Linked DNA regions of Ovis aries. The protein of the gene in region 6 purifies or fractionates together with the protein of the main gene of each other region. This does not show direct contact. Links are inferred from orthologs where the notes say so. Each region holds a gene or a part of one and is shown on either strand. Other genes may lie near its edges. The genes, in order: DNMT1, SIN3A, HIC1, CHD3, BCL11A and MTA1.

What was found.
Region 1: the proteins of MTA1 (region 6) and DNMT1 purify together in Homo sapiens (affinity purification with western blotting; 4 studies listed by BioGRID and IntAct, with this or other methods). This does not show direct contact. The link is inferred for Ovis aries from reciprocal best matches to the Homo sapiens genes MTA1 and DNMT1.
Region 2: the proteins of MTA1 (region 6) and SIN3A purify together in Homo sapiens (affinity purification with mass spectrometry; 3 studies listed by BioGRID, with this or other methods). This does not show direct contact. The link is inferred for Ovis aries from reciprocal best matches to the Homo sapiens genes MTA1 and SIN3A.
Region 3: the proteins of MTA1 (region 6) and HIC1 purify together in Homo sapiens (affinity purification with western blotting; 3 studies listed by BioGRID). This does not show direct contact. The link is inferred for Ovis aries from reciprocal best matches to the Homo sapiens genes MTA1 and HIC1.
Region 4: the proteins of MTA1 (region 6) and CHD3 purify together in Homo sapiens (affinity purification with western blotting; 7 studies listed by BioGRID and IntAct, with this or other methods). This does not show direct contact. The link is inferred for Ovis aries from reciprocal best matches to the Homo sapiens genes MTA1 and CHD3.
Region 5: the proteins of MTA1 (region 6) and BCL11A purify together in Homo sapiens (affinity purification with mass spectrometry; 4 studies listed by BioGRID and IntAct, counting the BioPlex papers as one, with this or other methods). This does not show direct contact. The link is inferred for Ovis aries from reciprocal best matches to the Homo sapiens genes MTA1 and BCL11A.

The regions. Positions count from the first base shown.
Region 1 is NC_056058.1:12,544,338-12,548,118, forward strand, and holds part of DNMT1 (DNA (cytosine-5)-methyltransferase 1), read right to left. Parts: coding exon 3,744-3,781; intron 1,893-3,743; coding exon 1,726-1,892; intron 1,341-1,725; coding exon 1,163-1,340; intron 464-1,162; coding exon 268-463; intron 1-267. UniProt on the Homo sapiens protein: Methylates CpG residues. Preferentially methylates hemimethylated DNA. Associates with DNA replication sites in S phase maintaining the methylation pattern in the newly synthesized strand, that is essential for epigenetic inheritance.
Region 2 is NC_056071.1:31,080,171-31,084,422, reverse strand, and holds part of SIN3A (paired amphipathic helix protein Sin3a), read right to left. Parts: intron 3,245-4,252; coding exon 3,006-3,244; intron 1,679-3,005; coding exon 1,495-1,678; intron 411-1,494; coding exon 1-410. UniProt on the Homo sapiens protein: Acts as a transcriptional repressor. Corepressor for REST. Interacts with MXI1 to repress MYC responsive genes and antagonize MYC oncogenic activities. Also interacts with MXD1-MAX heterodimers to repress transcription by tethering SIN3A to DNA.
Region 3 is NC_056064.1:22,965,021-22,969,956, reverse strand, and holds the start of HIC1 (hypermethylated in cancer 1 protein), read right to left. Parts: upstream 3,240-4,936; 5' UTR 3,009-3,239; coding exon 2,972-3,008; intron 2,631-2,971; coding exon 466-2,630; 3' UTR 1-465. UniProt on the Homo sapiens protein: Transcriptional repressor. Recognizes and binds to the consensus sequence '5-[CG]NG[CG]GGGCA[CA]CC-3'. May act as a tumor suppressor. Involved in development of head, face, limbs and ventral body wall.
Region 4 is NC_056064.1:27,388,382-27,392,633, reverse strand, and holds part of CHD3 (chromodomain-helicase-DNA-binding protein 3), read right to left. Parts: intron 2,061-4,252; coding exon 1,948-2,060; intron 1,460-1,947; coding exon 1,289-1,459; intron 1,032-1,288; coding exon 907-1,031; intron 1-906.
Region 5 is NC_056056.1:63,450,111-63,455,128, reverse strand, and holds the start of BCL11A (B-cell lymphoma/leukemia 11A), read right to left. Parts: upstream 3,207-5,018; 5' UTR 2,834-3,206; coding exon 2,779-2,833; intron 509-2,778; exon of another isoform or gene 490-508; coding exon of another isoform or gene 441-489; intron 1-440. UniProt on the Homo sapiens protein: Transcription factor. Associated with the BAF SWI/SNF chromatin remodeling complex. Binds to the 5'-TGACCA-3' sequence motif in regulatory regions of target genes, including a distal promoter of the HBG1 hemoglobin subunit gamma-1 gene.
Region 6 is NC_056071.1:67,443,468-67,448,298, reverse strand, and holds the start of MTA1 (metastasis-associated protein MTA1), read right to left. Parts: upstream 3,184-4,831; 5' UTR 2,986-3,183; coding exon 2,958-2,985; intron 1-2,957. UniProt on the Homo sapiens protein: Transcriptional coregulator which can act as both a transcriptional corepressor and coactivator. Acts as a component of the histone deacetylase NuRD complex which participates in the remodeling of chromatin.

The DNA.
Region 1 (3,781 bases), on a different chromosome or scaffold from region 6:
AGGACAGTCCACCAGGCGGAGCCTCCCCATAAGCCCTGTTTTCAGCAGCCTTTATTTAGAGCAGGGACACCCAGGTCCGGTGGGTCTGCACCCAGCTCAGGGCCGCTGGCCTCCTGAGCCCCTGCACCTCCTGCTGAGAAAGCCTGAGACCGTGCCCCTTCCCTTGAGCCCCCCACATGGCTGCAGATCCTAACGGGGCTGGAAGCGTCACACCAAGCAGGAGGAAGCCATACCCGGAGGCCAGGGCACGGGGAGGGGCTGCCCCACCTTCCACACAGGAGCAGACCCCGCGGAGGGCGCCGGCGCTGCTGCAGCCGTTCTTCTTGTCGTGGTAGTTGTACCGCAGCTTCCGGGCCAGGGTGCCATCGGAGAGCCGCACCTCAATGTTGGGCAGGTCACGCCAGTCCGAGCCCGGGGCCAGGGGGATGTGCCGCATGCGGGCAGCCACCAAGGCGCTCATGTCCTGGAGGAGCACAGAAGGCCCGGCTGTCGCCCAGCTGGGGGAGCACTCAAGCAGGTGCCATGGGGGCTGGGTGCTGTCATGGTGGGCACTGGGCACGCTGGCGGCGACTAGGAGCCCCCAGGCACTTGTATCCCACTGGGGGAGACTGACAGTAACCCCAGTGCACAGCCTGGAGTCACACACGTGCATTGATAACTCCAGAGCGGGGATGTGGGAGAACGGGGGACGGGTGAGGGGGTGGCTTTGGGCAAGTGCAGGCAGGGTTTGGGAGGAGCTGGCGTGGCACAGGTGGAGCCAGAGGTGGGGAGCCCTGGGGTCTCCCAGAGAACAGGGGTGGTGAGAGACGCGGTGGGAAACAGTGGCCATTCCAGAACTATTTAGGAAGAGTGTAAACTATTCTAGGGTGTAAGGTCTTCCTAGACCTATTACTTCGGAGTAATAAGCTCTGATGAACACCCCACGACCAAGTACTGCGGTGGGGGAGGGTGGTGGTGGAGAGAGGGTGGGTAATTGGAAAAGCAGGAGGCGGTGAGGCGGTGAGGCTGGGGGCCGGCTGAGATAACGCTGGGCTAGGGGTGAGCAGTCAAGAGCAGAAGGGGTGGAAGGGGAGGGGCGGACATCAGCTCCTCCAGCCCAGGCTGCGCTCCCCCCGCAGCTCTGTCCCCAACAGGCAGCTGCAGGGAGGCCTGCTCTGGTCACCTTGCAAATATGATCCCTGAGGATGGGCTGGTACTGCGAGCCCCGGAGCTGCCTCTGGAACCAGGACTGGGGCTCCCCGTTGTATGAGATCTCCAGTGCCGAGGCCCCATTCCGGATCTCGGGGAGGTCGGACATGGTGTCCCGCACGGTGATGGTTCGGAAGGGACCTGAGCTCAACCTGCAGCAAAGCATGGAGGGTTGGCACCTCTGGGACACACAGCTACTGTTACCTGAGTCACAGCTGCTATCCCCGACGGCTGGCACCGTCTTCTGCAGAAAAGGGGACCTTGACTTGGGGTCAAAGGGCTACCCGAGGTCACCGGGGCAGCACTCTCCTCAGACCCTGTGTAGAGCGTGGGCTCTGGCTGTGGCCCTGTACTCAGGGTGCTCGGGCAGGATAAGCCCAGAGGGGCAGAGCGTTCTGGGGGCAGGCTGGACCCCACACCACTGCTCCTCGCTAACACTTTCTCCGGGCCCGGGGCCTTGTCACTGAGGTCCCCCGGCACCACCCTGCTCCCCCAAACCTCACCGGCACCACGACCATGGGCGGGCAGGGCTCCTACCTGGTGATGTTGCTGACAAACTTCTTGTCGTCCACCACGACGCTCAGCTGGCAGGCCCGGGGCGCGAACACGTGCAACGGCTCGGGGAACAGAGGGAGTGGCTCCCCAGGGGCTGCAGCCAGGATGATGGCTCGCCTCCGAGTCTGGGCCACGCCGTACTGACCAGCCTGTGCAGGGAGGACCAGAGACGCACAGTCAGCGGGCACCCTGACTCGCTGGTCTGAGGGCTGGGGTCCGTGGCATCTGACTTTGGGGAGCATCTGGCCGGTGTGAAGCTCACCCAGAGAGCCCTTAGTTAACCCACAGTGCTAGTGCTAAATTGCTTCAGTCACATCCGAATCTTTGCAATCCCATGGACTGCAGCCCACCAGATTCCCGTCTATGGGATACCCCAGGCAAGAATACTGGAATAGATTGCCATGTCGTTCTCCAGGAAGTTAACCCAAGGCTTCCACTTAACCAGAGTGAGGCCAGAGGGCAGGACAAGCGATCCCAAGAGGTGGCCAGCAACCGCGGGGGAGGTGGGAGTGAGCTCAGGAGATGCTCTCAGCCGGTTCTTTGGACACATGGGGGTGCCGTGGTCTTAGCACTGGGGAGGAGAGCAGCCAGGGGAGACACCAGGAGCCGCCCTCCCGCCTGGCAGCCCACAGTCACAGAGACAGAACACGGCCACCAGCGAGGCTTGTTCGGTTAGGCTGAGACACTGTGGAGACCAACAGGGAGGGCTTGGGGCCGAGTGCCACCCTCTCCCCTCCACACGCTCACTGTTTTCCAGCCATCTCTCCCTCCTGTTTCAGCACCCGTTTCAGTTTTAGTTATGCCATCAGTTACTGAACAGGCACACACAGAGCAGTCGCTCTTCAGAAGAGGCCTCGTCCCCTCTGCCCACCCCAAGGCCCTGTCACTGCACACACAGCCACTGAGAGGCCCCTGGAGTTTCACCATGCACACCCTCGAGGTGTTCATAAGCACGTCCATTCACGCAGAGACTCGGCCATTTAGTCTATAAAACAGTGTGGTCTATGTGTTGTTCCTGACCCACCCTGTGTGGGAGTCTAACTGCTACCTGGAGTTCCACAGCTGGGCACCCCTACACCCCATCAGGGGAAACGAGCTGGAAACGACGCAGCAAAGAGGTCTCTTGCACATGGTCCCTCAGGACTTGCTGGGGTCCTGGCTCTGAGTTCCTCCAGAATCTCAATGCCAAAGGCTCTATCTATAGTGCAGTGCGGGCCAGCATCTGCCTCCACCAGACTATACGTCATCACCCTACAGCCTGATCCTTTGAGGAGTTTTGTTTTTAATTTTTGGCCACATTCAGCAGCATGTAGGATCTCAGCTCCCCACCAGGGATTGAATCCACACCCCCCCATGTGGAAGTGCTGGGGAAGTCCCCTTTGGAGCTCTGTTTTCAGTTACGGACAGTTTTTTGGAGCTCTGTTTTCAGTTACGGACAGTTTGTTGCAGTCCAGGGATGGCTGCCCCCGCCTCTGGCCTCTGCGTGCGCCCGTCTGCCCCTGCCCAGGCATGGCTGCCCCCGCGTCTGGCCTCTGCGTGCGCCCGTCTGCCCCTGCCCAGGCATGGCTGCCCCCGCCTCTGGCCTCTGCGTGCGCCCGTCTGCCCCTGCCCAGGATGGCTGCCCCCGCCTCTGGCCTCTGCGTGCGCCCGTCTGCCCCTGCCCAGGCATGGCTGCCCCCGCCTCTGGCCTCTGCGTGCGCCCGTCTGCCCCTGCCCAGGCATGGCTGCCCCCGCCTCTGGCCTCTGCGTGCGCCCCTCTGCCCCTGCCCAGGGATGGCTGCCCCCGCCTCTGGCCTCTGCGTGCGCCCCTCTGCCCCTGCCCAGGGATGGCTGCCCCCGCCTCTGGCCTCTGCGTGCGCCCGTCTGCCCCTGCCCAGGGATGGCTGCCCCCGCCTCTGGCCTCTGCGTGCGCCCGTCTGCCCCTGCCCAGGGATGGCTGCCCCCGCCTCTGGCCTCTGCGTGCGCCCGCCTGCCCCCGCCTGCCCCCGACCTGGGCGCACCTGCAGCACGCCGAAGGTGCACTGGTAGCCCATGCGGA
Region 2 (4,252 bases), about 36 Mb from region 6:
ATAAAGATATACCAGTTATTATTAACATAGAAGAGGTTGTACACTTCATCCATCCCTCTTAACTTCTGAGCTGCTGTGTTACTAAAGAGTAGCTTGGACTTAGGGGGACTGCCCCCAACACCATTGTGCTTCTTAGCCGCCCCTGTGGCTTCATCTACATCCATCTCTTCTTCTTCCTCTTCCTCCACATCTGAGAGATCACCTCTCTGAGCAAAGAGCAGATCTGGAATAAAATGATGCATGATTTGCTTGATTTTATATTTGTCTTCCTTCTGAATGCCTGTCTGCCTCTTCACGTGGTGGATAATCAGAGCAGCAGCATCTTCCAGAATCTGCTTGTCTTCATAGGCAAGTGAGAGGTGTGGGCCAACAGGTACACCAGCATTTTCTTCCGTAGCCTGCTCTTGCCTCTACCAGGAGAGAGAGAGAGACAAAGTATTATGTGACAGCTACAAAAGCACCAGGCAGACCTACGAGACTACACTAGCAGTATGTCCATAATGGCCACTATTTTCCAATCGAAAACTTCCAGAAACAAACAGATACTGTGCAAGATGTGGTTTGATACCAAAATGACTGGAGGTACCATGACTGGTACCTCCCAGACACTGAGATTTTTAAAAGACAATAGGACAGAAAGGGGACCATCTTCTAAAATTTTACATTAGTACTTATGGAGGATACGATATGAGGTCTAAAATTTCCTTTAAAATACTTCTGGGAGTGAGGAAGGTGGCAGATATAACAGAACTGGCAAGACAGGGAGGAAATTAAATTTATGTCAGTTCATTTTACTGTTCTCTCCCTTTTCATGTATGCTTGATATTTTCATAATAAAGTTTAAAATTCAAGATCACGCCCTTCTAGAAATTCTCAATCATACTCTATTTGTTTCTATCCATCCCCTAAGACTATGAGCTCAAAGAAACAAGGATTAACTTCTTATTCATCTGTGTATCCTAGCTCCCAGTACTCTACATAATCCTGAAGGATGCCGAATAAACAAGGATTAGAAAGTCTGGGGGCAATTCTCTGGTGGTCCAGTGGTTAAGACTCCATGCTCTCAGTACCAAAGGCCTGGGTTCAGTCCCTGGTGGGGGAACTGTAATCTCACAAGCCACACAGCATGGTCAAAAACAGAGAGAGAAAGAGTGTGGGGATTGAAGATAGTATTTTAAGTTGTGGAAAGTTGAGATAGGCTACAAGAAGGAATATAAGGTACTGTTGGAAGGAAATACGGAGAGAAGTGGAAGAGGGTGGCAGTGGGCATGAACTATAACCAGGATGGAAAACTGGGAAACCAGTAAAACAGCTCAGTGAGCCTTAGATTTAAAATGGTAGAAGAATTGGGAATAGAAGTCTATCCTATGAAGCAACAATCAACAAACCTTGGAGGGTCTCAGGCTCATATAACAAAGGTAATTTGCAGGAGTCAAAGCTATGCTGAGCATACAGACTGGAGACTTCTCACAAATGTTGAGACCCTCGACTCACCTCATCATATATACTCTCAATCTCATTGAGTAAGCTCTTGGACCTCAGGACCTTGGTGTCATTTTGTTTAAAGTTGATGCCTTGGTGGTCCAGAGATTTCAAATAGTATTTCTCATTTTGCTCTCTCCACACCTTGTTAAAGCCTCTCTGAGCTTCTCGCCATTCTTCCTCTTTCATCTTCAACCTAGTGGGGTGGAGGGTGGAAAAAGAAAGACATAAGAGTTCAGAGGAGGGAATTTTAAGGCAAGGAGTCATATTACACTTGTAGACTGGAATCCTCACTCTGCCATATTAGCCACGTAAGACTGCCTCCTTATCCGTAAAAAGAGGATAACAGCACCTCATCCCACAGGGTTTAGAAGTAAGAAATATGTCAGGTTTACTTTATTTCAAAGGTCAACAGGTACAGCAGATCTGTCAAATCTGTTGGCAACTCTGGAATAAATTTATTCAAGCTAGTCTTGAACTCTGATACACGAGAAAACTACTCATTCGGGACTTACTATGGGGAAGTAATTTATCCCAAAGTCAGAAATCTTGCAGAGAACAGTTATTTCTCAACCAACATTCCACAGAATACCCTAGAAAAGTAGACTCTCTTCTTTGGCCAGCTAAAACAAAGTGAAACAAGTTTCCCTGCTACAGGACTTCTGAGAATTGTCATTATGCTAATGCAAATGCGAATGTCCAAGAGCAGAGAACTTGAGCAACAATGGATGCTCCTCTAGACAGAGCCTGGAAGTTCCAGCAAAAACAACTGACTGAGCCTCTGGAAGAGAGGAGAGAAAAATCAAAACCAGCACTAGAACTGAAGGATATCCTCCACCTCGAAGACAAAAGTTAAACACTACTGGCAAGAAGGCAAACACCTTCTGCCAGCTCTTGAGAGGAAGACTGGGGAGGAACAAGAAAATCTGGGCACGTGTGACTGTGCAGTGGATAAGTTTTTCCAGTGGTGATACAGGACCAGATTTTTAGGAGCGCCATGGACTTCGAGGAGCCTGGGGCTCAGCCCTGGCCTCCTCGATACCTACAGCCTTATTTTAGGTGGGTTCAACAGCCCCTCTATACTTGGTTCGAAGGTTGGTTAGAAGAAAGAAGACATTCTTGAATTTTTATGGGACGCTAAGGCTTTTTAAGTAACATATCAATTTCATAAAGACAAAGTGATTTTTCTTATTAAAAAACAAAAGATGTGAACATCGGTTAGTACTAAGTGGCAGGAAGGTGGGTGGCTGTTTTCTTCTTTGTTCTCTATTTTAAAATATCCCCCTAAACACACAGAGCATTCCAGTATGGACTGGAAAGGCTTGTTCTCTGCTGTTGGTGACACAGAACCCCATCAAGAAGTTCCACTATCCCACACTATCCACCTGACTTCCTACAGCCGCGGTTGGAGAGAAATGGAGGTCTCAGGGAAAAACTGGGCTGAAAAGGAGAATCTTATTTAATGGGACACTAAATCTGTTGAGAAGTGCACTAAAGCATGAAGGGCGTATGCACTCAGGTACCTTTTAAGGACAATTGGGACAGCAATGGAAGGGTTCTTCCTCAGACCATCAATGATGTCAGCTGCTTTGTCAGCATATATCCTTTGGAGTGCTTTTCGGTGGATGACTTCCGATGTGCCCCCGAGGGTGTTGTCCAAGCGAAATTTAGCTTGTTCTTCGGCAGACAAGCGGGAAAGTTTCTTCTGTATTGCTTCCAGAACCCGGATAGTTGCCAGATTGGTCTCTAAAACTACATCAAGCTATTGAAAAAAAAAAAAAAAGACAGTGTGCTCAGGACCCAAATCAGAACAGAATAGCTGTCAGGAGTAGAAGGTAGAAGTCAAACTCCCTGGATTTGAATCTGGGCTCTGCCATACCATAGCCATATAAAACTGTTAGCTTATCAGTAAGACAGGAATACCACCACCTACTCTCACAAGGTTGGGTTCTGGATTTAACAATACAACCCACATAAAGGATTTAGCACAATACCAGGCACACAGCAAACATCCAAACCCTGAATATTCACTGAAAGGACTGATGATGAAGCTGAAGCTCTAAAATTTCGGCCACTTAATGCGAACAGCTGACTCACTGGAAAAGACTCTGATGCTGGGAAACATTGAGAGCAGGAGGAGAAAGGGGGTGACAAGAGAATGAGATGGTTGGATGGCATCACCAGCTCAACGGACATGAATCTGAGCAAATTCAGGGAGATGAGTGAAGGACAGGGAAGCCTGATGTGCTCCAGACCACAGGGTCACAAGGTCGTCTTAGCAACGGAACAACAACAAAGCAGTAGTTGATACTTCTAGCGCCACCAATGTGGTTTATTGAGGATGACCGGCCCCCATGCCAGAGGGACCTAGGAGGAGGCAACCTTACTGACACTTTCCCCTGAACTTTTGTGAATTACTCAGATCTGTTACAGACAATAACAACCACTACCACCAAATCCCAAAAAGATCATTCAAGATATTAAATCAATCTCATGAGTAAAGTTTTTCAGAGTAACTTGAGATGTTTAAATGTTTAATGTCTTTTTGCACATCTACTAACAATAAGAGCATTACTTAAGGGCTTCAATGTTGTATTTGTGAGTAACCATTTAAATTTTCACTGAATATTTCTGACACTTTATTTTCTGGCAAGGGCCAAGCCTAACCTGGTTAAAGACATGACTAGCAACCTTGAATTAACTTTTTTCCAAAGCTTAACACAAAATTTTCCAGATGAGAAACAGAAAATAAAGGAAATAAGCAGTCTCA
Region 3 (4,936 bases), on a different chromosome or scaffold from region 6:
TCAGTCCCCTCCCCGCTCCCAGCTCTGCCCAACGCTCCGACCCCAGCGGGGAGATTCACAGTGAGAATGGGTGTGGTCGCAAGGGCCGGAGGTAGGGCTGGGAGCGCCCCAACAGTGGCACCCCTCCCCCCACAAGAGCAGCACGGAGCCGGGAGGTGGGGGCCGACGAACCACAGGAAGAGGCGGAGAAGGGCCGGGGGTCTCCTTTGGTCAAAGCTGATATCAAAAATATAAATCTCCCTTCCCCCAACCCACCCCCGTCCCGGGGTTTCCTCCCCCCCCCCTACCCCCACCCCCGGGCTAAGGCACAAAGCAGTGAGGCCAGGTGAGGCCGCCGACCCTGTGGCGACGCTGCCGCGGCTGCTACTGTCGTCCGGGCATGCGGAGGTGGGGGGCACCCGCCTGCTGGTGGCCGCCGGCGCCGCCGGGGGGCGCGCCCGGGGCCACACGGAGGCCAGAGGCGCACTAGGTGGGAGAGAAACGGTCGATGGTCCGGCCGTCGGGGCCGGCGGCCAGGTGTGCGCCCTGGCTCAGCACCTCGGCCGCCTTGTCGGGGCTGAGGCCCAGCTCCGCGGTGAACTTGGCCAGCGGGTAGAGGCTCTCGAGCGCCACCTTGGGGTCGTGCAGGAAGTGCGTGGTCTGAGCCAGCAGCTCGGCCGCAGCCGCCTTGTCCTGCTGCTTCAGGCTGAGCTGTTCTGCCGTGAGGCGCGCCACTGCAAAGACGCCCTCGGGGAAATCGAGCTTGCCCTTGCCGTCGGGGCCCGGGACGCCGGGGAGCCCCCCCAGCCCCGCCAGCGCCCCGGCCGCGCCGGCCGCGCCGCCCACAGCGTGCATCTTCATGTGACTGATGAGGTTACGCTGCTGGGCGAACTTGCCCCCGCACACCTGGCACTCGTAGGGCTTCTCGCCCGAGTGGATGCGCATGTGCTCTGTGAGGCGGTACTGGCGTGTGAAGCGCATGCCGCACGCGTCGCACGCGAAGGGCTTGAGGCCCAGGTGGCTGCGCATGTGACGCGTCATGGTCCCGCGCTGCGTGAACTTCTTCCCGCAGATGGTGCAGGGGTAGGGCCGCGTCAGCCAGTGCGTCTTCTCGTGCTGCCGCAGCGTGGCCGGGTCCTTGTAGCTCTTGTCACACGACGCGCAGCGGTACGGCCGCAGCAGCTCGCCCAGGCCCCCTGGGGCCCCGGCCACCTTGTCCCCACCGCCTCCAAAAGGGGGCCCGAGGCCGGCGGCCCCCGCGGCCACCTCCGCCGCCTCGGCCCGGCCGTACAGCGCCTCCTCCTCCTCCACGTGCGCCTCCACGTGCGCATTCAGCTGCTCCGAGCTGGGGAAGCCCTTTCCGCACGGGATGCACACGTACAGGTTGTCGCCGAAGCTCTCGGGCTCGCCGTAGGCCAGGTGCGGGCACGGGTAGCCCTCGAGGTGGCCGCCGGGCGGGCTGGGGTCCTCGCTGCTGCCCGTCTCCTCGCTGCTGCTCTTGTAGTCGTCGCCGTCGCCGCCCGCGCCAGGCCCGTCCAAGCTGCCCGCGTAGCGCGGCGGCGGCGCCAGGCCAAGCGGAGGGCCCCCAGGCGAGGAGGCCGGGTCCCCGCCGCGCTCCTCGCAGCGTTCGCTGGGGGAGCCGCGCTCGCGGCCCAGCTCATCGCCGTAGCTGCCCAGGCCTGGCTCGTGCTTCATCCAGCGATAGAGGAGGCTGGGCCCGTCGGGGCGGCCGGGGGGCTCGGATCCCGGGCTGCCGCCGCCACCTCGGAACGGATCCGGAGGCGGTCCGGCCTCCTCCAGCTTCTGGAAGGGCAGCGGCGGCAGCGGTGGCAGGGTGAGCGGTGGCTCCTTGTAGGCGGCGGGGCCGGCGCTGGGAGGGCTGTCTGGGCGCGGGGGCAGCTCTCGCTCCCCTGGCTGTCGCTCGGGAGGCGCGGAGCCCGGCGGGCTTTTCTTTGACAGGTCCAGGCCGCAGAGCGGGGAGCAGCGGCGCTCCGGGGCGCAGAGCGAGGCGGCTGGGCCGGGGCCCGAGGCGTACAGCTCGGCGCAGTGCGTGTTCACAGCGGCCTCGGGGCCCGACGGCGGCTCGGCGGTGGGCGGCGGCGGAGGCCCGGCCGGGGAGGAGTAGCAGGCCTGGATGACGGGCGTGGCGGCCCGCAGGCCCCGGCCCGGCCTCCCGTAGGGTGCGTAGCCGCCGCCACCGCCGCCGCCGCCCCGCAGGTGGCAGTACTTGCCGTGGCGCTTGAGGCGTTTCTTGCACAGCGCCACGAGGTCGGGGATCTGCAGGTAGCTGGCGGCGGCCAGCACGGCGCCCAGGCTCGGCTCGGCCCCCGGGGCCACGGCGGCCGACGCCGCAGCCTCCGCGCCATCCGCCAGGCGGCCGGTGTAGATGAAGTCCAGCACCAGGCGGAACACGGCCGGGCTCACCATGTCATGGTCCAGGTTGAGCAGGTTGTCGTGCACCACCAGGGACTTGAGGTAGGCGCTGCTGGCCGCCAGCACGTTCTTGTGCGCGCGGAAGAGGGCGTTCTGCACCACGATGATCACGTCGCACAAGAAGCCCTTGGTGCGCTGGTTGTTGAGCTGCAGCAGCAGCTGCCTGGAGTGGCCGGGCGCCTCCATCGTGTCCAGCATCGTCTGCCCAGCACACTCTCCTGCGGGGACACACACCGGCGGGGTCAGAGCCGCACCGAGCGCTGGCTGCCTGCCCCCAGCCCAGCGCTTCTCCCCTGCACTTCCCCTTCCCCTCAGCTGGGCAGGGGCAGGGGCATAGAGCACGGCGGCCTGGGCACTGGCGGAGAATCCGCGGCCTCCAAGAGTGGGCGCCTGGGCCGGCCGGCCTAGACCAGAAGAAGGAGCCGAGACCAGCCGGCAGAGAGGAGGCCAGGCTGGCCGGCACCCCCAGGCCCGGATGCAGCCGGGCACTCTGCCTGGGTTCTGGGGGCTTCCGAGGAGAAAACTGTTCCGGCGAAGCGACCCTTGTGGAAACAGTTACCCGATTTGAGGAAAATGTCCGCTTCAGGAAAAGTCATTCAGGGCTGAGAAGTTTGCCCAAGTGGGATACAAGGGAGCCGAGTGAAAAAGCGCCTCCCGCCTCCAGAGAAGTTGCCCCAGTTGGGGGAAGAGGTCCGGAGGAGGGCAATGCGGTGCCCGCCGTGCCGCCGCCCTGGCCGGGGGCTGTCAGACCCTCGGTTGGGGCCCCGGGCGGCGGCTGTGGCGCGGGAAGCGGAGGCAGCGGCTGCCGTGGCGGGCAGAGCACGAAGGCCGGCCCGGCGCGGGGAGGGCGTTATATCGGGGCAGGAGGCTGAGGCAGGAAGCAGGTGGGGGGGAGGGGGGAGCCACGCAGCTCCCAGGGGAGGGAGGGGGCAGCGCCCCGGGCGGGCACGGCATACAGCCGGCTGCGGCCCTGACCCTGGCCTGCGCCCCACCCGCGTCCCGGCCCCGGCCTCGGCCTCCGCTCTGCATTCGCGGGCCCGGCGCCTCCCTCCCCGGCTCCCCTCGGCCCCTTCTCCACGGGAACTCCGCCGCCCCAAACTTGGGGAAAAGTTTCCCAACTTCAGACAGGCCGGGAGGAGCGCGCCAGCCCCAGTCCCTCGGCTCCCAGCTTTTCCTCTCGGCCCCCAATTTCGGCTGCCAAGCGGCCGCCGGGCCTGAACCGAGCCCTGAGCACCCCGGCCGTCCGCTCGCCCGCCCGACCCCATTCGCTGCCTAGTCCCCAGGGCCTCGCGCGCGGCCCGTTACCTGCGGCCGCAGCCTGGCCGGGCTTCCCTCCCCGCGGCGGTGGCAGCTCCTAGTCGGCGCCCCACCCGCCCCGCTGCCAGGCGCCGCGCTGTGCCAGGGCAGCGCCCCTGCCAGCCCCGCCCGCCAGCTCCCCTTCCCTTCCCCTCGCCTCTCCAGCCCATGTGCGGGCAGAGCCGGCCCCGGGCCGCTGACCCCGCCGTGAACCCGGCGCAGAGCAGCGGCCCGGCGGTCCTGAGTCCTCTAGGGGTGACACCCGGAGCCCTGAACGCCAGCCGCGTTGGGGGCGCCAGCGCCGGAGGATGCGCCCCAGGCGGCCAGCGCGCGAGGACCGGGCTGTTCGGGTCCCCTGTCCCTCCCCCGTCCCCAGCCCTAGGACCCACCTGGGGGGCATGTCGGAAGCCCCGGGCCCGGCTGCCGGCGGATCCAGGGGGGGACGTGGCTGCGCTGCGCTGCCCTCCGCCCGCCGGGCCCCCGGTCGGTCTGTCCTGCTGGTCCGTCCTCCCCGCGTCCTGGTCGCGTCTCAGCCCCGCCGCGCTTTCCGCACACTCTTATCTGGAGCGGCCCGGGCCGGCGGGCGCTGCTGCAGCTATGGCGCCACCTCGCGGCCGTGCGGTACTTTGCGCGGCACAGCCACGGCCTCCTTCCTGCGCACCTGAGATGGAGGGAGGCTCGCAGATGCCGAAGTGGACCCAGGAGTGGGGCCCGTTCTCAGATTCAGCCTTCCAGATGTGTCCACCTGGAGGCCCCAGCCCCGGACCTTCGAGCCCCACAAAAACCGGGGTTTTGAGCTGAATGTTCCTGTGTACATATTTCTAAATTCTGACATTGTCCCAATTCAGATAAGTCCGGCCTTCAAGGAAGGGGCAGTGGAAGGGAGGAGGCTTCCGAAATCCTAAGGAAGAAGATAGACAAGCTCTTAAGGGTCTCTCATTAGATATCCCTGGATGGCACTCTCCATTTGTACACCGGCCCCCCAATACACCCAACCTCACTCAGCCACGTGGGATAGGTATGCACAGAATAGACCCGTTTGCACCCAGACCCTCTCCATGCATTGACACCCGTGAGCGTGCATGTTTGCAGACGCACACCTGTCCCTTCTGGAGTCCAAGAACCGGCTTTCTGTCATACTCAGGGTACTGCCATATAGAGCCCTCCATGACCTGGGCAGAGGTGGTACCCAAAACCCCACCCTGAACTTGCAGGCCTCTACATGGAA
Region 4 (4,252 bases), on a different chromosome or scaffold from region 6:
CTGCTCTGAGGTGGGTATTAAGCTGTTGTGAGGACACAGGTGACTGTGGTGCTGAAAGAAGCACTGTCTTTAGTAGAGAAGCAGTGAGACACCAGGACTAATGACCGCTACCAGGGACTGAACTCTGCCTGGCCCCACAATATGGAATGGGCTGAGCTTTCCATCTACCACCCCATCAAAACCCAACCAAAGTACATACTTAGTCACCTCAGTCATGTCTTAACTCTTTGTGACCCCTTGGACTATAGCCCCCCAGGCTCCTCTGTCCACGGGATTCTCCAGGAAAGAATACTGGAGTGGGTTGCCAGTCCCTCCTCAAGGTACCTACTATTTGCCTATTTCACAGATGCAGAAACTGAAGATCAAAGTGAGCTGCCCAAGAAGCACCAGGACCTGAATTTTAGCAGGCTGTCTCCAGAGGGCTGAAGGGCTCTGCTAAAGTGCCTGCTTCCCCCAAAGGCATCTCTATTGTTCTCTCCTCTACTTTAGAAGCTATTGACTTGCAGGTGCCACTCTCAGCCTGCACTACTACTGCTGTCTAAGGGAAGGGCAGAAGACTCGATAACCGAGCAAAGGAAACTGGGAAACACTGATGCCACCTCTCCACTCCAGTCTGATGAAAAGTCAGGCAGGGTAAACTGGAACTGTTAAGAGCAGAGAGGGCCATCGGTCACCAGAGTTTTCTAACCTAGCCGTGGAACTCTGATCCCCAGTGAAAAGTTCCTGACTAGAGTGCTTGGATCCTGGAATCCAGGAATTCTCTGATATTACATGGGAGTTAGGTGTGTCTGTGCTGTGAATTTCTCTGGACAGCCATTTTTTAGCTTTCATCAGATTCCAGAGAGGTCCAGGGCCTCCCTCAAATTAAAAGCATCGGCTAGTGAGGGTTCCCCAGCCCTACCGTACCTCATGAATTGGCTGAAGGCTTTGTAGTTGGTGAGTGTGTGGTAATCTTCCTCGGAGAACACATGTTCCACGTCCTCCAGGCCCCAGGTCAGAAGTAGGGTTGCTGATGACTTCTGTTCCACTTGCTAGGATACCAGGCTTCTGTTAGCCAGGTGCTCTCCTAACTCCAGTCCTGGGCTCCCCCCACCCCCTGACATGCCTCCCTGCCCACTCACCAGCTTCTCTGGGCTTCCAGTTTTCTGTTCCATTCCCAGCCCAATCCCACTCCTCATAAACCACAGCCTCTCCATTTGTCACCCTGCTTGCCCAGGGCTCTCCCTCCCCTACTCTTCAGGCTTGTCATTGATACAGATTTCTTCCCTCACTCCCCAAATCTACTCACCTTTTGCCCCCCCTCTCCCTCCCCTTTTTTCCGCCGCTTTGTCTTCTTCTCCTTTTTTTCTCGGTGCTTCCGTCTCCGTTTCCGACCTGGTCCGGTTCCATATTCACTGCCTCCACTCTCTGACTTCTCCCGGTACTCATCTCGCTCAGAGCCAAATTCCTCCTCGCTGTCCTAAGGAAGAGAAATAAAAACACTATTTTTTGAGCCCTAGCGTGTGCCAGGAACTCCTCTTAGCACAAAATATCATCGTCTCTTTTAAACTTCACAACAATCCTATGAGACAGCAACTAATCTATTTTTATCCATTTTTTTTTTTTTGTAGAGGAAACTGAGGCACGGAGAGCTAAGTAAGCTGCCCAAGAAGATAGAGGACTGCTGGGCTGTGAATTCATGCAGTCTACCTGCAGTGCTTCCAACAGCTTCTCTGTGTTGCAGGGCAAGTAAAGTCGACAAAAGGGCTCTTCACTAGGATGTAGTGAGTAAGGTTAGGGTCCCAGACCTGGGAGATACAGGCTAGCAGGAGTGGGGCTAGGGGCAGGCAGAGGGAGTCAGGTCTCCCTGACTTCAGGGTCCCCATGGCAATCAGGCCCAGAGAAATCATAGGTCTCTGGGATGGGTCTCCAAGCCTCACTGTAGAGACAGGCATGCGTAACACTTACAAGCTTCTTGCGTTTCCGGGGCTTTCCTGGCTTGTTCTCCTTCTGTTTCTTAGGTCCTCGCTTCCTCTTCTTCACGCCCAATGTTGAAGGCAGCAGTCGAATGTCATCCTTATCTTTGGAGCAGACAGCACCGGAAAACCTAAGCCTCTAGGCTCCCAGCCTCTGCAGCCCTTTTCCTCCCTCACCTCCTTGGTTCCTGCTCTCTAGGAAATCCAGCATTAACTCTTCCAAACCTTGCCTCCCTTTGCTGGACGCAAACAGAGAGTGTTTCGAGTACTCTGGGATGCCTGGGTTGTGAATGGGAGGTCAGGGGTCAGAAGAGGAGAGCAGCCAAACCACTCCTGTCTCTCCCCTCCTACTAACAAGGGACCAGGCTCTAGGCCATGGGCTCTGACTGTGGCAGGTCCTTTTAGTCGCCGCCAGGGCTCCTCCTGCCTTCCCCCTCACTTAGCCAGCTGGCATCCTGCCCAGGAACTGGGGAAGCCATGCCCAGCTGCTGGCCTGGCCTGACCCCAGCACTTGGAGTGGGGAGACACAAGCTGGCAGCTCCCTAAGCCAGATGCTGAGAAGGCAGAGCCAAAGGTGGACACCTGGGCTCTCACACTAACACCCTGGGGCCCTGACATCCTTTCTGTGAGGAGTGAGGCCTCTATTTACACTTCCTCAGATAATCACCCAGACTCCTGTCACCCCAGCATAGCCCTGGAGGAAAAGAAACCCTCAGTCAGCCATGTTCACTTCTGGCCCACAGGATCTTGGTGTCTGGCTCCTTTGTCACTCCCTAGCCCCACAGGAGAAGGTCTCCACAATTACCTATACATTCTTCCTCCTCCTCCCAAGCAGCCTCAATTGTGCCTTCAAATCTACATCCACATCCCTGTTCCCTTTGAGAACTCAGGCGCCCTACCCGTTGTCCCTGGTCTCACCCCTTGCCTCCAAATGTAGTCTCAAGCATTCTAACCCATTCATATCTAAGCAGTATGGGAGACCCACACAAAGACACTGGACAGGCATAGACACACCCCTCAAATGCATTCTCAAATGCACAAGCATCACATACTCATGAGCACAAACCCAGAGGACAATTTGTACATGCTTTTAGCAGGGCTAGGTCCCTGGCTTTCTCTCCAGATGTCCCTGTCAGACAATCTGGGGCTGGTTCTTCCCAGATGTCCCCCTCTCCCCATTCTCCATGACCCCTGCCACACTGTGGAGGCTTAGGGTTCAGAGAATAACTACTTCAGGAGGAAGACACAGCCGATGCCACACAGAAGTGAGGCCCCGGTGTGAGGCCTCCCTCCCCCAGCAAGCACTAGACTAACCAGCCAGACCTGTCCTGCTCAGGTAGAGGCAGCAGCGCTGGAGGGAAAAGCCTGGGCCGGCCCAGCCCCTTGCTCTAGGACACACAATCCTTCTCCCCACAACAGCCAAGGGAAAATTAGCCACAATTTACACCGGAGGCCTCGGGTTTCCAGCGCCTCAGAATCGCGGCGCCTCCTTCCTTCAGTGCTACTTCTCACAGCTCCGGCATCCTGTGCCCTCTCGCGCGGGACGGCACTCTAAAATTGGGGGGCTGTGGCGCGGGGGGGGGGGGGGGGGGGAAGTGCCTGCAGGCAGCCCGGGGTGTGAAAACAGAGTGGGTACCGTAATAGGAAGTCAGTAAGACGCCGTGCCCCGCAGCCAGCGCTCTCTCACCCCAGGGACTCCGCTAATACGAACATGGAAACGGAGGCTGCCGGGGCAGTAGCAAGGGCAGGCCAACTGGCTGAGGATCAGGGAAATGGCCTCGGTCTCCGCCAGCTGGGGGTGGGGTGGTGGGGGGACACCAGCCCTGGGACCTCGCAGCCAGTTAACTCCACTCTCCACCCCAGCGGGAGGTTCCCCAACTTGGGAAGACGGCGGTAGTGCGGGGACGCAAAGTAGACGGCTAGGAAAGGAGAGGGAGGGCAGGAAAGCAAATCTAAGTCCCAACCTCTGCCTCACCAGCCACTCAATGCTGGCCGCGCGCCCAGACTCTCCCACATCCCGGCTCAGATCTCGGAAGACGGCGAGGGAGGAGCGCGGCGAGGGGGCCGGGCGGGGCCTGGCGAACCGGAGAGAGGGAGGGGCCTCGCCGAGAGCCTCGCCTCCCGCCCCTCTCTTCTTCTAATCTCACCATCAATCTCTCACACATATATTTATTTTTTCTCAAATTCCCCTCCCTCCCCCACAACGAACCACCATAATAGGTCTGCTGCACATGCGTATTGCATGCAGGGGGTGGGTTTGTATTTTCAGACCTTTTGCAAAGAAACTACCAGAATTT
Region 5 (5,018 bases), on a different chromosome or scaffold from region 6:
AAATGCAGAGGGGGGTGGGGGAGGAGGCCCTGGTACAGGTTCAAGTTCGCTGAGCTTTCTTGATCTTGTTCTGCCTCCTAGCGACCGAACGGCTCATTCAGCCCTAGAAACGGGGGATGGGGGCAGGGGGGAGGGAAAGGGGGTCCTGAAGACTAGAATGGCTCCCGCCCCCTCTGCGCACCCAGAAAATTAGAAAGGAGCGACCACCGCACCCACTTTAAACTGGCCCCTTAACCCAAAACCCGCTCTGAGACTCGGGGATTCCAAGGGGATAACCCACCCAGCCTGGAGTCTCGGGATGGGCCCCGGGAGAGTGGGGGACGGGGGAGCAGCCTGGACTGCACGCCACAGTCCGTCCTTTGAGCCCCCAGTGCATCCTTCCGAAGAAGGGCCCGGCTTTCCCGAGTGCTGCGAACATTGCCCTTCCTTCCCGCCGGTACCTGGCCGGGCTGTAACTTCACACCGCCGCGCGCCGCGTCTGCTCCGCATCCGGCGCGGCCGGGGGAGTGGGGGCGGGGGAAAGCGGTGAGGGAGGGATGCGCGGGGGTGGGGAGAGGGAGGGCCCGCAACGTGCCCGGGCGGGGGAGCTTTCGAAGTGTGTGACAAGTTCCAGGACCCAGTGAAAAATTCAATTCCCTACGCGCACCACCCCCCCCCCGACACACACACCTTTAAAAAATACAGAACTGGATATGGGGTGGTCCTTTAAAATTGCAGCAAAAATTAAAATACGGGTCATGAATGAGGTGGGGGAGGGAAGTGGGCCCTCTCACGCCTTTCTTTCCTTTGCAGCCAAACTTTCCTTAGCGCCCACTGCCTGCCTTTCCAGGCGCATTCTGTTAGCCAGGAGGCAGCCACCCACTTAACCACCCCACCTCCCTTATACAGACTCAGAAGGGCCCCCAGATCCAGCCAGGCCCGAGGTAGACAGCAAGAACTCAAGGGAGGGATGCTCGGAGTCCCGGGGTCAAACACCCCCCAAAACCATACTCGAACCAACTACTTCCCTACCGTCTACCCCCACCCCCCGCCCCCCACCCCCACCTTGCGTGGCCGAGCTCCGGAGCTGGGGGCTATAGGCTTGTCCCTGTGGGAGGGGGGCAGGGAAGGCACGTGGTGATCTCCCCGCCGCCCTGAGCTGGGGGCAAGAGGCGTCGCGGGTAGGGGACGGACAGGACTCGCTTTTAGGGATGCTTTGCAAAATAAAAATGCTTTGCAAAGATGAGTTTCTCCCCAGCCGATTTCGCAGTAGGGTTGGCCAAGAGGAGGTCTGGGCATTGTATTAGGGGGCCAGAGAGGACCCTGGACCCGCTGGCGCTGAGTCGCTGCACCGCTTGCCGCTGGGCCAGCGGGCTGGCGACGGGCGCCGGGTGGGCGATCCCGGGCGGGGCGGGGGCGCGGTGAGGCCGGGCGAGGCCCCGGCGAGGCCCGGCCGCAGCCGCCGCCCGCTCCCGGCCTGCCGCGCCGCGCTCGGTCCTCTGTCTGTTTGTTGGCAGGAGGTTCCCGCACACGCGGTGCTTGTAAACATTCAGACACGAGATTTTTCCCAATCAAAATCCACTTCCACTTTTTTTGAAAATCTTCCAAAAAATAGTAAGAGGAGGGAGTTCCTCGCTCCCTCTCTGTGCCGCCGGCGCTCTAAGTTTGCAACTAAAGAGGTTTTGGTGAAGGGGGTAATTGTATTTTTCCCCTCTATTAGAGATTGTGAGATATTTGTAGGGGGGGCGCGGTGGGGGAGTCAAAGAGGAGAGCGTTGCTGCAAACCGCTGGCGGAGCGCTTGGCGTCTGTCTGGGGGCAAAAAAAAAAAAATGTTGCCATGTTTTATTTTATGTATTTTATTTTATTTTAACCTATTTTCGCCGCCACTGAGGTTCGGCCGGGAGGGGCGGGCAGCGGGAACCCGGGCGGCAGCACCCACAGCGCCCTCCCTCCCTCTTCGACTGGCCCCCGGCCCTCGCTCCTGCCCTTCGGCGGCGGCGGCGGCGGCGGCGGCGGCGGCGGCGCGGGAGGGCAAGCGCGAGGAGCCGGCACAAAAGGCAGCGGGGCAAACACCCACCTCGGGCCGGAACAAAAGGCTGCAGCGCCGGCCGCGGCTCCGGTCCTTCCCGGTCGCCCAAGCTCTCCCGGGCACCGCGGCCCCTCTCCAGACTCGGCGGACTCAAGAGCGCCGGGGTCCCCCCTCCCACAATCCCACTTTCTCACTATTGTGGAGATGACTACTTTCTTCCCAGTGCACACTTGACCGTGAGCGCGCTGGTGTCCAAGGGCCAGTCTCACCTCTTTTCTCCCTGGGAATCGTTTTTTTTTTTTAACTTGGGCTCCCCACCCCCCGTTTTTCTTCCTACGGTAAGTGGAAGTAACCCCCTTTCCCCTCCAGTTCCCTCCCTTAGGTTTGCACGAGAGTTGTTAGCATCCACAGCATTGTTCATTATTTTGCAAAATTGGAGGCGAAATCATTGCATTCCTTTCTGAAAAGCGAAATAAAGCAGAGGAAAGCAGGAAAGAGGAGGAGTCAAATTTTTGTAAAATTAAATAAAATTAAAAGGTTCGTGCTATCCCAAAAGTGTACATACGGCTACGATTCGGGATGGGATGAGGTTGGTTCCCCCCCCCCCCCGCTTTAATCTCTTTTATCCCGACTCTCGGAGGTTTTTCTCGTGAAAAAAAAATTTTTTTTAATGCATGCACACACCCCTCTCTCCCCCTTTCTCTTGCTTCTCGTCCTGCGCGCTCTCGTGATTATTAATAATTATTATTACTATTATTGGGTTACTTACGCGAGAATTCCCGTTTGCTTAAGTGCTGGGGTTTGCCTTGCTTGCGGCGAGACATGGTGGGCTGCGGGGCGGGCGGGAGGCGGCGGCGGCGGCGGCGGGCGGACGACGGCTCGGTTCACATCGGGAGAGCCGGGTTAGAAAGAAGGAGACTCCAGAGAAAATATCTTCATCAGTGCCTTTTGACATCCAAAATAAATTAGAAATAATACAAAGATGGCGCAGGGAAGATGAATTGTGGGAGAGCCGTCATGGCTTTTTTTTTTTTAACCAAAAAAAAAAAAGAGAGAGAGAGAGAGAGAGGAGAGATAGAGGGGGAGAGAGAGAGAGAGAGATGAAAAAAATGGCAAAAGCCCCCCTGAGCTGCAAGTTCAAGTGCGGACGTGACGTCCCTGCGAACTTGAACGTCAGGAGTCTGGATGGACAGAGACACACAAAACATGGGCAGGGCGAGCAGGAGAGAAGGGGAGGAGGGAAGGGGAAGCTCACACCAATGGACACACATCAGGGGCTGGACATGAAAAAGAGACCAGGACAAGCCAATGGCCAGTGCGGGGCGGGGGAGGTGCCGGGCGGGGGGCTCCGCAGACGCCAGACGCGGCCCCCGTGGGAGGGGCGGGCGGAGGGGAGGGGGCGCTGGGGCCTCGGGCTCACCAGTGGCCGCAGCGAGTGCAGAGGCAGCGGCTTGGCGGGGAGAGAGGGAAGGGGCGGCGGGGGAGGGGAAGAGCCAGACGTGCGCCCTGCTCCCCCCAACCCCGGCACGCGGACCCTAAAATGAAAGATTATTTTAAATTAAAAAAAAAAAAAAGAGTGTCTGGAGGCTGCAGGGGCCGGGGAAGCGCGGGCGGAGGGAAGCCAGGTAGAGTTGCTCCCGGACACCCTCCTGCGTGCGCACACCCACTTCCCTTCGCCGCCGCCGCGGAGCTCGCGCCTCGTGTGCGGACGCCGGGGGCCGAAAGCCCAGAGCCCGCGGCTGCTCTCGGGAAACTTTGCTCGAGGAGAGGATAGCCAAGAAAAATCACCCGAAGTTGGGAGCTGAGCCTCCAAGTTACAGCTACGCCGCGGGCGAGGGGAGGCGGGAAGGAGCGCCCGGCCAAGCAGAGTCCAGCTCAAGTTTGGAGGCTTGCGGGTCCGGAAAGGCAGCGCGGGGGCCTCCGGGAGCCCGGGCGGTCCGAGAGAGAGAGAGAGGGCAAGGGCGAGAGAGGAGATGCAGGCCCCGGGCCGGCTGGCGGGGAGGGCGCCCCCCAGGCCGAGCCGGGGGGCCGGAGATCTGAACGTCCAGACAAACGATCGGGTGTGAATGCCACTGGGAGTAAGGAGTCAGGCTCTCAACGGTCGAGGAGGAAGAAAGAACAGGGAGCCGGACTCGGGGCACGTTCCGGCCCCGGGAGTGGAGTGCCCGGACCCAGGGCGAAGGAGGCGCAGAGGCGTCCACCTCACGGGGCCGCCGCCGGCCAGAGGACAAAGCCCGGGCAGTCGAGGAGTGCCAGTCCCTGGGAACGGGCTCCCGGCGCCGCGGGAGGTCCCTAAGCTGGGTCCCAAGAAAAGACACACCCCCTCCCACTCCAGAGCTACTGCTAAAGCACCGAGGAACGGCAAGAAAATGTTTCTTACGGGCAGAGCACAACTAGTCCAGTGCAGTTACCCAGGGAAAGAAAATGGGGAATGAAGAAAGAGCGACTGGCTCGCGGGAGCAGCGGGGAGGCCACAGTGGTGGGGTGACCGCCCCGGGTCACCGCCACGCTCCCGGGGGGCCCCGGGCGGAGCTGCACCCGCCGGAGCCCGCAGCCCAGGTCTGGCCTTTCTGCAGACGTTCCCGGGAAATTAGGGAAGACCTGTTGGAAATAAACCCCTGTCTCTTTAATGCACATACACACGCGCGCGCGCGCGCGCTGCTGCTGTCAAAAAGCGGGCTTCACTCTGGCGTGGGATACTTTCAGTTTTACGTAAAATGTACAGCAACAGCACCCCCTGCGATTGGAAAGTTTATTCAGAAACGTGCCTGCAAAGTCCCCCGGCGTCTCCCGCCTCCCAGTCTCCCCGCCTGCCTGCGCCACCCTGTAGCCTCAGCCGACGCCGCCGCCGAGAGACCGCGCTGCGATTCCAAATCCGGAAGGGCAGGGGGGAGAAGAAAATGGACTCAGGTCCAAGGGAGGCGCGGAGGGTGCAGGGGGGGTACGGGTGGCCGCGGCCCGCGAGACTGCGAGCTGCAGGTGGACGTGTACAAGTGTGGGTCTGCAGAG
Region 6 (4,831 bases):
GCTCCGGGCTGCGGGGCTTCCGTCTGTCCTGGAGCCTGATGGAGCAGCTCTGCCTTCACGAAGGGGCAGAAAGAGAGGAACCCGCCGCCCTCCTGCAGAGCAGACGCCCCCGCCCCCCGCAGCGGGGCGTGGACCCTGACCCAGCCACCGGCATCCAGGCCTCGCCCGCCACGTGCCGCCCAAGAGGCCTTCTGTCCAGGCCCGGCCACTTCCTGGGGAAGAACCAGGCCTGGTCCCTCCCAGGCTGACCCACTCCGCCCAGCCGGTCAGTTGGCACGAAGCTGCGGCCATGCCTTCGCCCCGCCCAGACACCCTGGCAGGGCCTCGGGACAGCCTGCCAGGCAGGACGCAGGACGCCCGGGAGAGGCTGGGTGCCGCGGACCACTTTCTTGTGTCCCTCCCATGCGGCATTGGGGACACACAGATGCTAAGACACGTTGCATCTGAAATGCAACCCTAACAGGCATCCTGTACTTTTTCGTGCTGGATCCAGTGACTGGTGGAGGGTCCTGCGTGCGGACAGCTTCCCCGGGTTCTGTCCCTGTGGTGCACCGAGGCCAGGCAGCCTGCCCAGTGGGCCCCAGCCCCAGGGAGAGGCGCGAATCTGCCCATCTGGGTCCTGAGAGGCCCTGACGGCGACCCCAACCCCAAGCCAGCAGCTCCTCGGGACAGGACGCCGACCTGCCGACACCCTGCCCACAGGCCCTGTGGACCCAGGGGACAGCGCCTTGGGATCCCGTCCAGAGGTGGGGGACGGAACAGCAGGGACCAACCTGGAGTCCAAGGGGAAGCGGCCCTCCATTCGGGCCCCGGGAGCGCCTCCGGGACCCGCGGGGGACACAGGTGTCTGAGGCACAGCAAGGCCTGAGTGCGGCCAGGCCCTGGTCGATTGCACAGCCAGGAGGCCTGGAGCCCACACGTCAAAGCAGGGACGAGAGTACAGGCTGCGGTGCCCACGGCCTGGGAGGGGCAGAGATAGCACACAGTGGGGGTCCCGCCCTGAGCGGCAGGCGGCCAAGGTGTAGTGGGGGCCAGCGAAGGGCCCCCAGCACCCCACTGCCTCCCCCTCCAGTCTCCACCCAGGAGCTGGGCGCCTCCTCTCATTCATTTATTCAGCACCCCAACGCGGCCCTAGGGCGGAAGCCTGGCGGGGGGGGGGGCTTCTGGCCAGGTAAACCTCAGGGGCACCAGGCAAGCCAGAAAGGTGGGCCAACCGGAGGGGTCTCACGCCGGGAAAGAGGGGGCCTGCATGCAGAAATGTGGTCCGAGAGGACACTGTGCGGGAGGAGAGCTGCCAGGGCGGCCAGGGGACCTGGGCGGGGGAGGCTGGGGGCTGCCAGCACAGAGGGGGCGAGTGGGTCCCAGGGACCTCCTACCGCCCTCCAGGTGACCGGCTCCTGCTCGGATGGGCCAGGGTGGGAAATGAACAGGCCCCTCCCTGAAGGGCTGCTGCAGCCGAGCCCGACCCCCACGTGTCCACCAAGGGCCTGTGCTACAGGGGGCACAGGCCCCCATTCCCGCGACCACCCGTGAGCCAGAGCGGGCAGGAGAGGGCCTGACGGGCCGGCAGGTGTCCTGCTTGCCCACTGCCCAGGTGGGGGTGTGTGCCCAAGGTCACGAGGCTGGCCTGGCCCTCGGGGTCAGCCGGCCAGCAACAGGGCAGACGGCGCACAGAAGTGGCTCGGACAGCGAGGCCACGGCTGCTCTCAGGCCTGACACGCTCCACCAAAGCTGGGCACGCGGGCCTCTCAGGATCTCAGAGACAGCCAGCGGGCACCTCGCCTCCCTGTGAATTCACGGACCAGCTGGGAACCCCACGGGAAACCAGCAGTGCCCTCTCCCGGAGCCCCCTCCCCACAAAGTGGGGCAAGACCCAATGCCAGGGGCTTCCCGGGGCCCAACGAGGGGAGGAACAGCCCAGGAGGGGAGCCTACAGGGCCTCGGCCCGCTCAGCATCCCAAGCAGGGACCACCTGGCTCATCGACACCCCTGCAAAGCACCTCCCTGCCGCCCTGGGGAAATAGGAGGCAGCAAAAAAGTTTGGGGTGTGTTGAAAGCACGCTCGGGTGACCACAGGCTGCTAAGGCTCTGGAGAGGAAATCCCCCAGAACACAGCCCCTAAGCATACTCCAGGCCCAAGCCCTCAGCGGTCCTGGGCTCCAGGGGGGGACATGGCCCGCACCCCAGATCTGAGCCCCTAGCTCCCCCCCCACCCCACCCCCGGCACACCGTGGGCCCTCCTCATCCCTGGGCCCCGGAGCCCCCCACCCCCGGAGGGCAGCCGGGCCTCCTGCACCACGTGCTCCGCTCCGCTGGGGGCGCGGGGCTCAGGCCAGGCCCCCGCACAGAAGGGTGCTGGCATCCCCCACAGCTCCTCACAGACCACAGGCCGCCCCCAACAGGTGGGCACAGCCCCCCCTCACCTCCCCCGCTCGGCCCCTGTCCCCGCCGGCTCCAGCGGGGCGGCCCCAGGGGCCCTTTCGGGCCGCAGTGAGCGTGGCCGGGCCGGGGTGGGGGTGGAGGGCAGGCCGCTCAGAAACGATGGAGGGGGGAGGAGACGGGGTGCGGTGCAGACGAGGGGTGCGGGCGGCCGGGGGGAGGGGGGATGCCCCGGCAGGCCGGCCTGCAGTGGGGGAGGGGCGGGGCGGGGGAGGGGACCGGACTGGGGGGCGGGGGCGGGGGCGGGAAACGGGGAGCGGGCGGGCGGGCGCCGCGGCGCGGGGTGCAGAGCGGCCGGGGGATGGCGAGGCCCGGGGCGGCGGTTTGGGACCGAGGCCGGCCGGGGGGGGGGGGCGGTGGGCAGAGACGGCGGGGCCGGGCCGGGGGCCGGGAGTCCGGGGGGCCCGGGGCGGGGGTCCGGGGCCCGGGGCGGGGGTCCGGGCGGGGGCCCGGCGGAGGCCCGGCCGCGGCGCATAAAGGCGGCGGCGGCGGCGGCGGCGGACAGGCGGCGGCCTTACCTCCGACCCTGTACATGTTGGCGGCCATGTCCGGCGGCGGCGGCGGGGGCCGCGGGCTGGGCCGGGCGGGCGCGGGGCTCGGCGCGGGCGGCCGGGAGGACGCGGCGCGGCGCGGGCGCGGGCGCGGGGGCGGGCGGTTTAAAGGGGCCGCGCTGCTCGGCCGCCGCCGCCGCCGCCGAGGCCGCCGAGGCCGCGCAGGGACCGAGGCCGCGGGCGGGCGGGAGAGGAAGAGGAGGGGCCGCGCGAGGGAGGGGCCTGGGCGCCGCCGCGCCCCCCGCGGGGCCGCTTCCCGGGCGCCCCGCCCCGCGCCGCGCGCCCCCGGCGCCGCCGCCCGCGCGCCCCGCGCCCCCGCCGCCCGCGCCCGGCCCCCGCCGCCCGCGAGCGCCCGCCGCCCGCGCCCGGCCCCGGGGTCTTTGTCCCTGCCCCCGGCCCTGCCCCGCGGCCCCGCCCGGACGGCGGCGGGCCCCCATCCCACCTCCGCGCGGGCACCTCCGCCCTGGGCTGCGGCCCGAGAGACCGGCCAAGGGGCCGGGTGGCCGTGCCCAGGGTACCCTCTGGGAGGCCCCGCCCGGGAGCGGGGCGGGGGGTAGGGGGGGCCCCGACGCGGATGGTGGGGGCGGGGGGCGGTGTTGGGGGCCTGGCGGGGGTCCGGCGGCGCGGCTGGCGGTCCGTGCGAGGACAGCGAGGTGGAAGGGCCGTGGGTGAGGCACCGGCCTGCCCTCCGCAAGCCCGGCAGGACCTGGCACGCTGTGTGGGCTTAAGTCTGAGGATGGCGGTGGCCCGGGCACTGCCCGCAGGAGAAAGCGGAGGGTGGAGGGGGCGGCCCGGCTGGCCAGTAGCGGGCCCAGTGGGGCTTTTGGACCAGCCCGCTGCTCGGGGGCCAGAGGAGGGAGGTGAGGGCCCCAGGGTGACTGCCTCATCTGCCTGGGGACATCCCTGTGGGACGCGAGGGGACAGAGCCCAGGACAGGCCCCAGGCCCCGCACGTCGTGGAGACTGAGGGCGGCTAGAAGGCAGGAGCTCAGCGCTGAGGCCATTCAGGCAGGCCCCCCTAAGGGGAGGACAGGAACGTCCCCCTCCCCACAGCCCATCCTAACTCAGTGAGCTGCGTCTCCTCCTCTGGACAGCGAAGCTGTACCATGAAGCCTCCATCCACCAGCACCCAACAAGCTGACCAAACAGTAGAAACCACGGATCAATGCCCAGGCAGCACAGAGCCCCACATTTCCCGTCTGCAAAGCGCCTGCTCCTGTCTCCCTGAGAGTGGCATCCACCTGCAGCACCCCGCCTGCCGCGGGGAGAAGCACCGAAGGGCGGAGGCTGCCTTCCTCCAGCCACGGTGGGGGATGGGGGCGAGTGGCGGACAGGGCTGCCTCTCCCTGGAAGTCTCAGGCACGCTGCTGGGTTCCAGGTCTCCCCCTCCCAAAGCAGAGCGACGTCTGCTAAGCCCCGCTCCTCTGCCGGCTTCACACTGCTTTCCCCTCTCCAGACCAACAAGGGGGGTTGCAGGCAGGGCCCAGACCTCACACCAGCTCAGAGGCATGGCGACAGGCCCCAGGCACCTTGCAGAAGACTTCAAAATTCTTGCATTTAGTGGAAAAGGAGATGTTCAGGAAGGAGCCCCGAGGGCGTGCCACGTGGGACGGGGCGGCCCTGTCCCAGACCACAAGGGCCGCAGAAAGAGTGGGGAGCGGGGGCGAGGGGCGACGGAGTCGCCTCCACAGGAGCCCCGCAATCCGAGGTCAGACGTTAGGCTGTTAGGCTGACAAGACAGCAGAGCAAGAGCAGATGTGAGCCGAGGCGGCAGGCCAGGGTCCCGCCGCTGCCAGGACAGGAAGCGGGGCCCGGGGTGGCAGTGACTAACCCGGGCAGGCC